2 linked regions of the Arabidopsis thaliana genome follow. The protein of the gene in region 2 purifies or fractionates together with the protein of the main gene of each other region. This does not show direct contact. Each region holds a gene or a part of one and is shown on either strand. Other genes may lie near its edges.

Region 1 (4,881 bases), on a different chromosome or scaffold from region 2:
ATCGGATCGGAGCTGCTTCAAGGTCTCGAGATCGTCGTCTATAAGCTGAGCCTCGCGCTCAGAGTAGGTGAAAGTAACGTAGTTGCGGAGAGGACGGTAGAGATCAACGGAGCTCGTCTTCTTCTCATGAATGGCGAGCATCAGATTAGAGAGCGAAGAAGAAGCCATGGCGGTTCAAAATCCTCTTCGATCGCTCTTCCGATTTTTCTAATTTTCTTCGATTTTTGGTTTCCTTGATGGATCCTTATTGACTAAGAGAAGATGATCGTGAAGGATCGTGAGAACGACACCAAGTCCTGTGATCTTCTATGAAAACGGCGTGCAGTCTAATTTAGTGGTTAATACAGTCGATCAATGGCTTTTAAGCTTTTTTCCGCGTTAATTAAATGTGGCAACGATGGTGATTTATTTTGTGGAACTTTTCCTAATTAGAAACATGTCTAATTCACAATATTTTTTGGTATAAATCTTCTTGGTATATGTAGAAATTTTCTATTGAAAGTAGAAGAAATATGCAAAGTATATAGAGCATGGACATTAACATGATCACTAATCAAAAAAGAATGTTGTGGTGACAATCAACACAGTAGTATTAATTTTTAAGGGACTACAAAATTCTGTGTGTTTATGAATTAGAGAGGCCTTGAAGAGGACTTTCGTATCAAAAGAATAATGATGTGAAGAAACAGTAAAATTATACGATAATACAAGAACTATATCTGTCAAAAGTTTTTGAGCAGCTTGTCATTTGAGACTCCATCAGCTACAAGCATTGAAGTTATCTCCTGCAACAATACAAATCGAAACAATGATAAAGATACACATCTTCTAAAGCATTTAGGTTCTCATAAACAAAAACAGTGCATACCTCAGCCATTTGTTTCTGTCCGCACAGCACCGCTCCCGTGGCCTTGGGAGCTGATAGCTGTTTAGCCCTTGCAAAAGCAGCCTATACAACACATTATGTATATATTAGTTTGATCCACATTGAGTTACAGCAGACTTGACTAAGGAGCACGTTTCTCAATCTCACCTGCACATATCCAGTTTCCCCTTTCCACCCATCATCTGGCTGTGATAATACCGGCACAACTTTGACACCCGCTGATTCCCACTCTTTAAACTTTTCCTACAAAATCAAGAGCGTTTCCAAGATGATTCTTCTGTAGATCAAAATGAGAGCGAGAGATAGGCTTTACGCTTATCATCAAAAGATTTTTATAATTCAAGCACACACATTTATATCTACTGACATCATGAATTGCAAAACAACTGAGAGAAAGAACCAAACCTGGTAAGCCATCCTATTCAGGTTCCTAGCCCCGTAATAGAGTCTTACGTCAGATCTTCTATCAGCGCCAAATCCTGATTCGATTAGTGAGCGGATGGGGCTGCAGAGATAAGAACATGTGAGATTACATTCCAAATTGAAGACAGTTACTTAATTCACATCACCATCACTAAACATTTTTGATTGACCAGGCCTAGAACAATAGATGATTGAAAGAAACACCTTTACTTGGCATAAACAACAGATCTGATCGATCACCAAAGTCATAAAAACATTGACCTTTCATACATGAAACTCTATTTCAGTATTACAACATCATCACAGTAAAAAAATAGCCACAAAATTGGTCCATGGCACCTTTGGATAGATTGAAATCATACTGGAGTTCACAAAAAAGGTCCACAAAAAAGCAATTGAACCCGGCATCACAGAGGATTCACCGCAAAATGAGTAACTAAACTAGATTCAAGATACTTGAGTTTGAAAGCTTTGTATCTAGCTAATGCTCTGCACTGAAACCTTTAAACTAGACCACACTTGGATCATTGAATACATGAAGTAAAAAAGACAACTTCAGCAATCCAACAAGGTAGGAGAGAAAATGGAAAAAGCTCTCACCTAATTCCAGATCCAGTGGCGAAAATCAAAACGGTGGGATATTCCTCAGGAGGATCAATCAGATCGATATTGAAACCATTACCCATCACAGAGCTAAGCTCAACGGTCTCTCCTTTCTTCAACCCGCAGAGAATCTCCGCGGTAGAACCAGCGATGCTCTTGACCAAGAATTCGAAAGCACCACGAGAAGACGCCAAGGAAGGAGGAGAAGCGATTGCCATAAAAGAAGGCTTCTCAACATCAGGAACACGGATCTGGAGATACTGACCGGGTCTCGTGTACGAAGCTACGAGATCCGGAGCGTTTGAAATGTCGATTGAGATGTGGAAAAGCGATTCTGCAGCTGATTCGATTAGAGAGAGAGGAGCTGGAGTCCAGAGGGAAGCGTCCTGGCGAACGGCGGCGGCGGATACAACGGAAGCGACGCGGTTATTTCGGGATAAACGGAGATGGCGTGTAAGAGGGAGATGGCGCAGGATAAACATGGGGGAGAGGGAGTGGCTAAAGTGCGCATGGGTGACAGAAGGCGCGAAAGGAAGAGTGGACATGGTGGAGAGTTTTTGGGGCTCTATATGTGACCGTCAAATTTAGCCGGCGGTAGAAAAGGGCGGCCCGATTGGTTCGGTGGCACGATTGTGTTATTTTTTTTTGCTATGCACCTAATTTCCTTCCGTTACAATGTTTTGCCACGTGGATGATCAAAATATCATTCTATCTACTTTCCGACCACTTGTTGTGATACTTCGAAAATTGCATTCCCTCTTCATTTAATTTTGCTAGCTCGTCTTTCAAAGAAAAAACACCAAATCATGTAATTAAAAGACAGAATTGTGGAAGAAAAGTGACAAGCAATATGCATATTAAAAAACGTAAGAGTACATTATCAATGAACACTCCCTACCGTTGAGCCAAATTTAACGTATATATTTCATTCATGGTTTTGGAATTTTGCCAAGTGGCACTACACTATAGATTCCCTTGGTAAGGAATTACACATAACCAAGCACCAAAAAGCAGACAGTAGTACTTCACGATTATCACTCACCACTTTCCGTTTCAACTTTCAAACTCTCTCTCACAAGCCATGCAAGACGCGGAGAGAACCACCAATGATCCGGTAGACAGAATTGAGAAAGTGACATGGAGAGATCTGCAAGACGGATCTTTCACCGCAGAACTCAAGAGGCTTATCTGCTTTGCGGCTCCTATGGCTGCCGTGGTTATCATTCAGTTCATGATACAGATAATCTCAATGGTGATGGTGGGTCACCTCGGTAGACTCTCCCTCGCTAGCGCTTCCTTCGCAGTCTCCTTCTGTAACGTCACTGGCTTCAGCTTCATTGTTTGTTTTCCTTTTCCTTCTTTCCTCTAAATTGACGCACTTATCTCTGTTACTAGCTACCAGAACCATGGAAATTGCATCCTCTCCTCACTTTCTTGTTACTTTTTGATGATAGATAGGATTGTCATGTGCCTTAGATACTTTGAGTGGTCAAGCTTATGGAGCTAAGCTATATCGGAAACTAGGTGTTCAGGCTTACACAGCTATGTTCTGTCTTACTTTAGTGTGTCTCCCTCTCTCTCTCCTATGGTTCAACATGGGAAAGCTTATTGTGATCCTTGGCCAAGACCCTGCTATTGCTCACGAAGCTGGTAGATATGCCGCTTGGCTCATCCCAGGACTGTTCGCTTACGCCGTTCTTCAGCCGCTCATTCGCTACTTCAAAAACCAGAGCTTGATCACACCTCTCCTCGTCACCTCTTCTGTTGTGTTTTGTATCCACGTTCCTCTCTGCTGGCTTTTGGTTTATAAGTCAGGGCTTGGTCATATTGGAGGAGCCTTGGCTCTCAGCTTGTCATACTGGCTCTATGCCATTTTCCTTGGATCTTTCATGTACTACTCCTCTGCCTGTTCTGAGACACGCGCGCCGCTTACCATGGAGATATTCGAGGGCGTTAGAGAGTTTATCAAATATGCTCTTCCTTCTGCGGCTATGCTTTGGTACATCACTTTTCTCTGTTCCTTTTTCACTTCTCATTGCCTCCACATTTTTTGTTAGAAACTCTTTTATATATGGGTTGCAGCCTGGAGTGGTGGTCATATGAACTCATAATATTACTTTCTGGTCTGTTACCCAACCCACAGCTGGAGACTTCTGTGCTCTCTATCTGGTACTCATCCTTGCATCTTTCCATTTCCTGTCACAATCTTGAATTTGCAAAATCATAATGTTATTCATACTACGGACAGTTTCGAAACACTTTCAATAACTTATTCAATACCACTAGCGATCGCGGCTGCAGCAAGGTTAGAGCTTTTGTCACCACTATCCAGTACATAAATGCTGAAGTATACTTTCTGTTATGGTTTCATGTTCATAAGCAAGTACATTGTGCAGCACAAGAATCTCAAATGAGTTAGGAGCTGGAAACTCTCGAGCAGCACATATTGTGGTCTATGCGGCAATGTCTCTTGCAGTAATGGATGCATTGATGGTGAGTATGTCTCTATTAGCCGGCAGGCATGTTTTCGGCCATGTTTTCAGCAGTGACAAGAAAACCATCGAATATGTTGCAAAGATGGCTCCGTTGGTCTCTATTTCTATCATACTGGACAGTTTACAAGGGGTTCTCTCAGGTTCGAGATTTTTTCCCATTTCGTTTCTCAAACATAAGCTAGTGTCGAATATACAGCTCCAAGTTGTCATGCCTGTTCATGTTGTACTCTTTTCTGCCATTCTTCTAACCCTCGTTTGATGGTTGGAAGGTGTTGCAAGCGGATGCGGGTGGCAGCATATAGGGGCTTACATAAACTTCGGAGCTTTCTATCTCTGGGGGATACCCATTGCAGCATCTTTAGCCTTCTGGGTTCATCTGAAAGGTGTTGGCCTTTGGATTGGAATACTAGCCGGTGCAGTTCTGCAGACTCTTCTGCTGGCTCTTGTCACAGGCTGCACAAACTGGAAAACCCA
Region 2 (5,378 bases):
AGCAACCCTCTGAATCTGGTTCAATGTTTGTATATAGCCAAATTAATATAAGATTTTTTTATATATAGATAAAACATCACCCATCAGTGATGGGCCATCACCCTAATTATAAGACATTGTGTAACTTATAACAACCTTCCATAACTGGTGTTAAGAAACCAAATGTGATAACTGATAAGATTATTTGCTTGCACATATCACCAATGAGATGATTTGTGAACATGTTAATGAATTAAGTATTTTTATTAATAAAGGTATAATGAAACCTTCATATCAAATTATGTGGGTGAGATGGAGGCATGGATGTGTTTGTTAGGCTCATACCTGAGGCCTCGTATGTTTGGCCTATTTCTTTGTTAGAATCTTAATTTGGTAATGAACAAGACACAAGCTTTTACATCTTGACAGAAACCTTTAAAATCCATCTAATTAGATGATTTATAAGATGCTTTATTATTATGATCTAACCACGTTTATATATTTTATTCAAACTGATTAAGTTTGCGTTGATTATTTACTTCTCAACCCATTTGCTAACTGTATTAAGTAAATTAACAAAATATGATTTATATATATGAACCATGGAGCTTTATGAAGAATTCTGAAAATTTCAGCTGTTTGATCACTCAAGAGGATACATGAGTTTGTTTGTACCAAACATAAATAATGCTTCACATTATTGGATTCTTCAGCGCTAGAGACATTCTTAATCAATCCAAGTAAAAATATTATGTCGATACTCCAAAAAATTGGGCAAAGCTTGGATACTTCGGCTCCCATCCTATCTCCGCTCGTGTCTTAGAGTTGTTCAGCTTCTTCCCTAAAGGACCACTGGTGCCTACAAAAGCCAAAGTTGTCAGACTCCATGAAGCTTAAGGTTTTTCAAGACAACTACATGTCAATGTCTGAAGAAACTCACTTGTAAAACCTTTGAACTTCTTATCAAATTTTCCGCTTTGAGCCATCAGGTCCATCACCTCTTGCCTGAGAAGAGTGAGGGGTCAAACATTTGATGTCTCATCAAAAGTTAGAAAGTAATCTCAAAGTTAGAACGAAAGCAGCATTACCTTGACAAAGGATGGTTGTCACAACCCAAGAAAATCCGAGCACCGGCTTTCTTCTTCATGATTGCAACTGCCAGCGATGCTGCATCCTGTTCAAAAACACATTAGAGAACCTGATAAGAGACTAATGTATAGTACACTGCCATTCTAGAAAATGAGTTCAATCTGCAGATCAACTAATTAGTTATGAGAGTGAACAAAATCACAAATATACCTCATAGTGTATGAGATTTAGAATATGATCAGGACGAGCATCAATTGTCTCCTTACTCAACCAGTAAGTATGTGCACCTCTAGTTTCTGTGTATAAAAAGTTCAGGAGAAACATAATGCTCAAATCTTCTACAGACCAAGAAAAAAGTCTTTCAATACTTGCTCATTCAGTTTCAGTATCGAAATCCAAAAGGATATGTAAAGCCCTGCTAGTCTAAGGACAGTCCCTCCACATTCCAACACTACTTTTTCAGCTTTCAAAAGCACATCAGTTCTTGGACTCTTTCCCAGTGGCACTACTGGAGAATCCTGCAGTGAAGGGTAACGAACTTAGAAATTCTTATTGAATAGCACATATATATATTCACAATGAACAAGAATTTGCATTGTGGTCTCAAATATCAAATTTTTTTATTGATTGTATACTTGATTTTCATAGATTTTAAATGTGAGAGACTCTTTTCCCCAAATTACCTCAACAAGTAATTGTGTTAAACAACTTTGATATAGAATAATACTAAATGTGGTGTTAAAGTCTAAAACTAGGAATTTTAGGATGGAGAAAACTGAAAGAAAATAGGTATTCAGGTGCTGAGACAAACCTCGTTGCATTCTCCGTTATCAAAGCAATCATAAGGTGCAGAACTAGATGTGAATAAGAATGATCCTTCGCCATTCCAGTTTGATGCTGCATTCCTGATCCGATTGTAAACACAAGCATACACACATATTAGACAGTTGAATGAAGGCAAATGTTTTTACTGTTGTCACATAGGATGAACTAAAAAGCACAAATTGACGTTTAGCTTCATTTTTCTTCTCCAGCTAATAAAGTCAAGCGCACAATAGTCGACATTTCTGGCATTCACTAACAGATCATAATGCATAAATTGACTTTCTAGTTATTAAAACATAAGATTTTTTGTAATTAATCACCTGACTTCACCAGCATAATCAGCGCTTTGTGATGGTGGAGCACAAAAGATCACATAGGAGAACTTTCCCCCATATTCGGTTCCTTTAAGAGATGGTTTGATACCCAAATTCTCCAACTCACCATGATGATTTGTTGTTACTGTCTGCCCAAAGATTTGAGACTCTGGATGTTCCTGCTCCACATATAAAGCTCTAACTCTAACTTCCATATTGTGAAAAACATGACTCTTACTATATATACGTTGTGAAGAAAAAGTACTAGTCACTATCCACACACACACCATATTGATAAACACTCAAGACACATTAAAACAGGGATTTGCAGGACATCATAAACGTTTTTGTTTTCGTAGTACAGAAACACCATATCTATCGGATGTTCTATAAGAAGAATATGAGTAAGTATCAAATTGAGCTAAGTCCCCTGTAGGGGATATACAACACAGAAATTATACCTGTCTCCACTGTTCTGCAACTAAGCGTCCAAGAACACCCGGTCCAACAATCAGCAGATCGTTTGCTCCAATTGAAACATGAGACTGGACCTTCAAGCCATCACTGGTCTCACCTTCATACAAAACAACATATTAAAAAGGTCACTACTTTGGAGAGGCAGATCACTAAACCTTCATTTACCATATTCTTAGCTTCCTCATCAATGTAATCAGAAATTGTAAATCATTCGAAAGCTCTAATTACCTCACTAAGCATAAAAGATTAACATAGGATTATCTTAAAAGTCAAAGTTCACTAATCCTTAAAGCAGTCGAATTGAAGAAGTAGAGAGTGAAGATACCAATGGTGGAGGAAGAAGAGGCTTGAATAGGGGTCGCCATTAACGAAGACGTTAATGGAAGAAAAAACGAGACTTTGGGTTTATCCTCCTGACGTCTCAAAGCAAACTTAAGTGAATATGAAGAAGACGCTGAAGTCGAGTGCTTGGAAAAGTGGTGAGTCGATAGAATTCTTGAATTGATCGTCGGAAATGAGATGCAAGAGATGAAACCCATTAAGACAAAAAAGCAAAAAGCTTTGGCTTTTGACGACGAAAAAGATTGAGTTGGCGTGGGGAAAGAGATGGGATTCTCCGTGAGACTTTGGTAATGGGTTCTCTTGGTGTGTTTTAACCAATGGCGTATTTACACGTCACGACGTCCAATGTTGTAGAATATTGGTCTTTTTTTTCGTTTCTTTTCATATTCTAAGTTTGTTTATAGGAAACAAAAGGAATGACATTTGCTATTAATATTAATGTTAAGGATTCGATAGTTTTACAGTTTACACACTCTTCTGTCTCTCTACTCTTCACATGAGCTCAGCTTCTTCGGTGTCTCCATCAACATCTTCAACATCGTTCTCGTCATTCTCATCTGTTGCATCTGGGTCTATTCCCTGCAACAAACACCCCAATTTTGTGAATACACTAAACATCATCCTTGTTCGAGCTTCATAATAAAATGGTTCGATTTGATTCTTCCCAACCTTCATTTGTTTCTCCAAGCGATCTAGTCCCTTTTTGGCTGCCTCATTCTGTGGATTTATTCTGCGTTTACATTATTTACACTCTGTTATATCGTTATTGTTTCGCATAGGAGCAACAAGAACTATAAGCACTACTGGCTTAGAATTTCATAAACCTTAATGCAGCTTGAAAGTGTGATAAAGAATCTTGTAGCATATTCGTTGCAGCAAACACTTGAGCTAGCTTGACGTGGAGAGAATCATCTGCATAATCTTTGAGATATCGTTCAAGTAGTGATACAGCATCTCCATTCCTCCCTTCCATTAGATGAAGCTCAGCTAGGGCTAACACAGCTCCAAGGTACCCAGGTTCCAGCCTCAGACCTGACTCGTAAAACTTTTTTGCCTGTTATAAAACCATATCATTCTACTGTTACACCATAAATTTTTATACATAATGTAAAGATCACAAGAAGATACTCACAAGCTCTGAATAGTTTCTCAGATTTGGTATACACTATGCTTATCAAAATTGAGATTTGAACAGTTAAGTTTAAGGAACTTTCCCAGTTTCAATATTTAGTATTATATGCAACTAACTCCCTAAAGCTTTCACCGCTTCTGATTAAGATGTAAAAAATCTGGATAGAATATTGATATGATGAAAATTGACACCATAGAAGCATAACAAAGCTGAATGTTTGTACCTTTTCCCTGCCACTTGATGTAAACGCATGAACATCACCAACTAATTTCAGAGCCTTCGCGGATTGAGGCATTGCATTCATTGCTTCCCTGGCGGTATACAATGCTTCTTTGGTTTTACCAAATGCAAGATAAGAATGGACTAAGCCTGAAATGACCTCAATAGCGCAAGTTAATTACACACTCCAACCTTTTCATGATTGTTAAAGGTTTATACCACCAAAACAGTACAACAGTGGAAGTGTATATCAGATCTTTTTCCCTCGTGAACCAGACCTTGATATGAACGAAGATCGGACCTCAAATTCTGGGCAGCCCTGAAGGCGATCGCTGCAGCTTCTGGTCGTTTTGCTTGTAAAAGTAGATTTCCCTGACGTCTTAACAAATTAGTGGATATATATATATATGCAAACTTACTAAAAATAAATAAACTCCTCGTTGAACTAGCTTACCTTCATTATGTAGCCGGGTATGTGCCTCTCGTCTACCCTGATACTCTGATTGCATAGTGTATGTCATGAGCTATCACACAAAGATTTTGGCACAAAAATTCAGTGTCAGAAAAAAGCTAACCTTCTCAGCATAAGATAATGCCGTCCTTGCATCTTTCCTTTCCCATAGTACAGACAAAGCAACAAATACTTCTGCTCTGGTATGATCAACGCTTAATAAATCGTGGACGAGCTTGTTTAGCCTGGAATAATCACACTTAATCTGAAGCAGCATCGCATACTCATCCATACTGGTTAGTGTGTAAGGATCAATTGACCGAACCTATAAAAGCTTTTAGATGATTATGCATGAATTAAAGAAGTTGAGAATTGAGAAAAAAATATCCATGTGGTGACTACCTTCTCAAATCTCATTATGGCCTCATCATTTTTCCCAATAATGGCTTCAACCTATACAAATGAAATAAATGTCAATCAGCGTCAGTCATGATAAAATGAAAAATTCAGGTGAAATTCTGTTTGCATCGTAGTCGATGTCATCCCTAAC

What was found.
Region 1: the proteins of EMB2799 (region 2) and AT1G15140 fractionate together in Arabidopsis thaliana (co-fractionation; one large-scale study listed by BioGRID). This does not show direct contact.

The regions. Positions count from the first base shown.
Region 1 is NC_003070.9:5,209,681-5,214,561, forward strand, and holds AT1G15140 (FAD/NAD(P)-binding oxidoreductase), read right to left. Parts: upstream 2,670-4,881; 5' UTR 2,458-2,669; coding exon 1,910-2,457; intron 1,392-1,909; coding exon 1,292-1,391; intron 1,130-1,291; coding exon 1,034-1,129; coding exon of another isoform or gene 962-1,033; exon of another isoform or gene 950-961; coding exon 869-949; exon of another isoform or gene 786-868; coding exon 723-785; 3' UTR 501-722; downstream 1-500. Other genes in the region: AT1G15130 (Endosomal targeting BRO1-like domain-containing protein), read right to left, coding at 1-168; AT1G15150 (MATE efflux family protein), read left to right, coding at 2,994-3,251, 3,367-3,911, 3,995-4,081, 4,161-4,217, 4,309-4,547, 4,677-4,881.
Region 2 is NC_003071.7:16,309,253-16,314,630, forward strand, and holds EMB2799 (NAD(P)-binding Rossmann-fold superfamily protein), read right to left. Parts: upstream 3,371-5,378; 5' UTR 3,224-3,370; coding exon 3,010-3,223; intron 2,782-3,009; coding exon 2,669-2,781; intron 2,387-2,668; coding exon 2,214-2,386; intron 1,974-2,213; coding exon 1,880-1,973; intron 1,587-1,879; coding exon 1,476-1,586; intron 1,369-1,475; coding exon 1,279-1,368; intron 1,154-1,278; coding exon 1,068-1,153; intron 985-1,067; coding exon 920-984; intron 839-919; coding exon 729-838; 3' UTR 546-728; downstream 1-545. Other genes in the region: APC7 (tetratricopeptide repeat (TPR)-containing protein), read right to left, coding at 3,519-3,605, 3,696-3,756, 3,851-4,080, 4,382-4,527, 4,656-4,749, 4,832-4,876, 4,953-5,153, 5,231-5,281.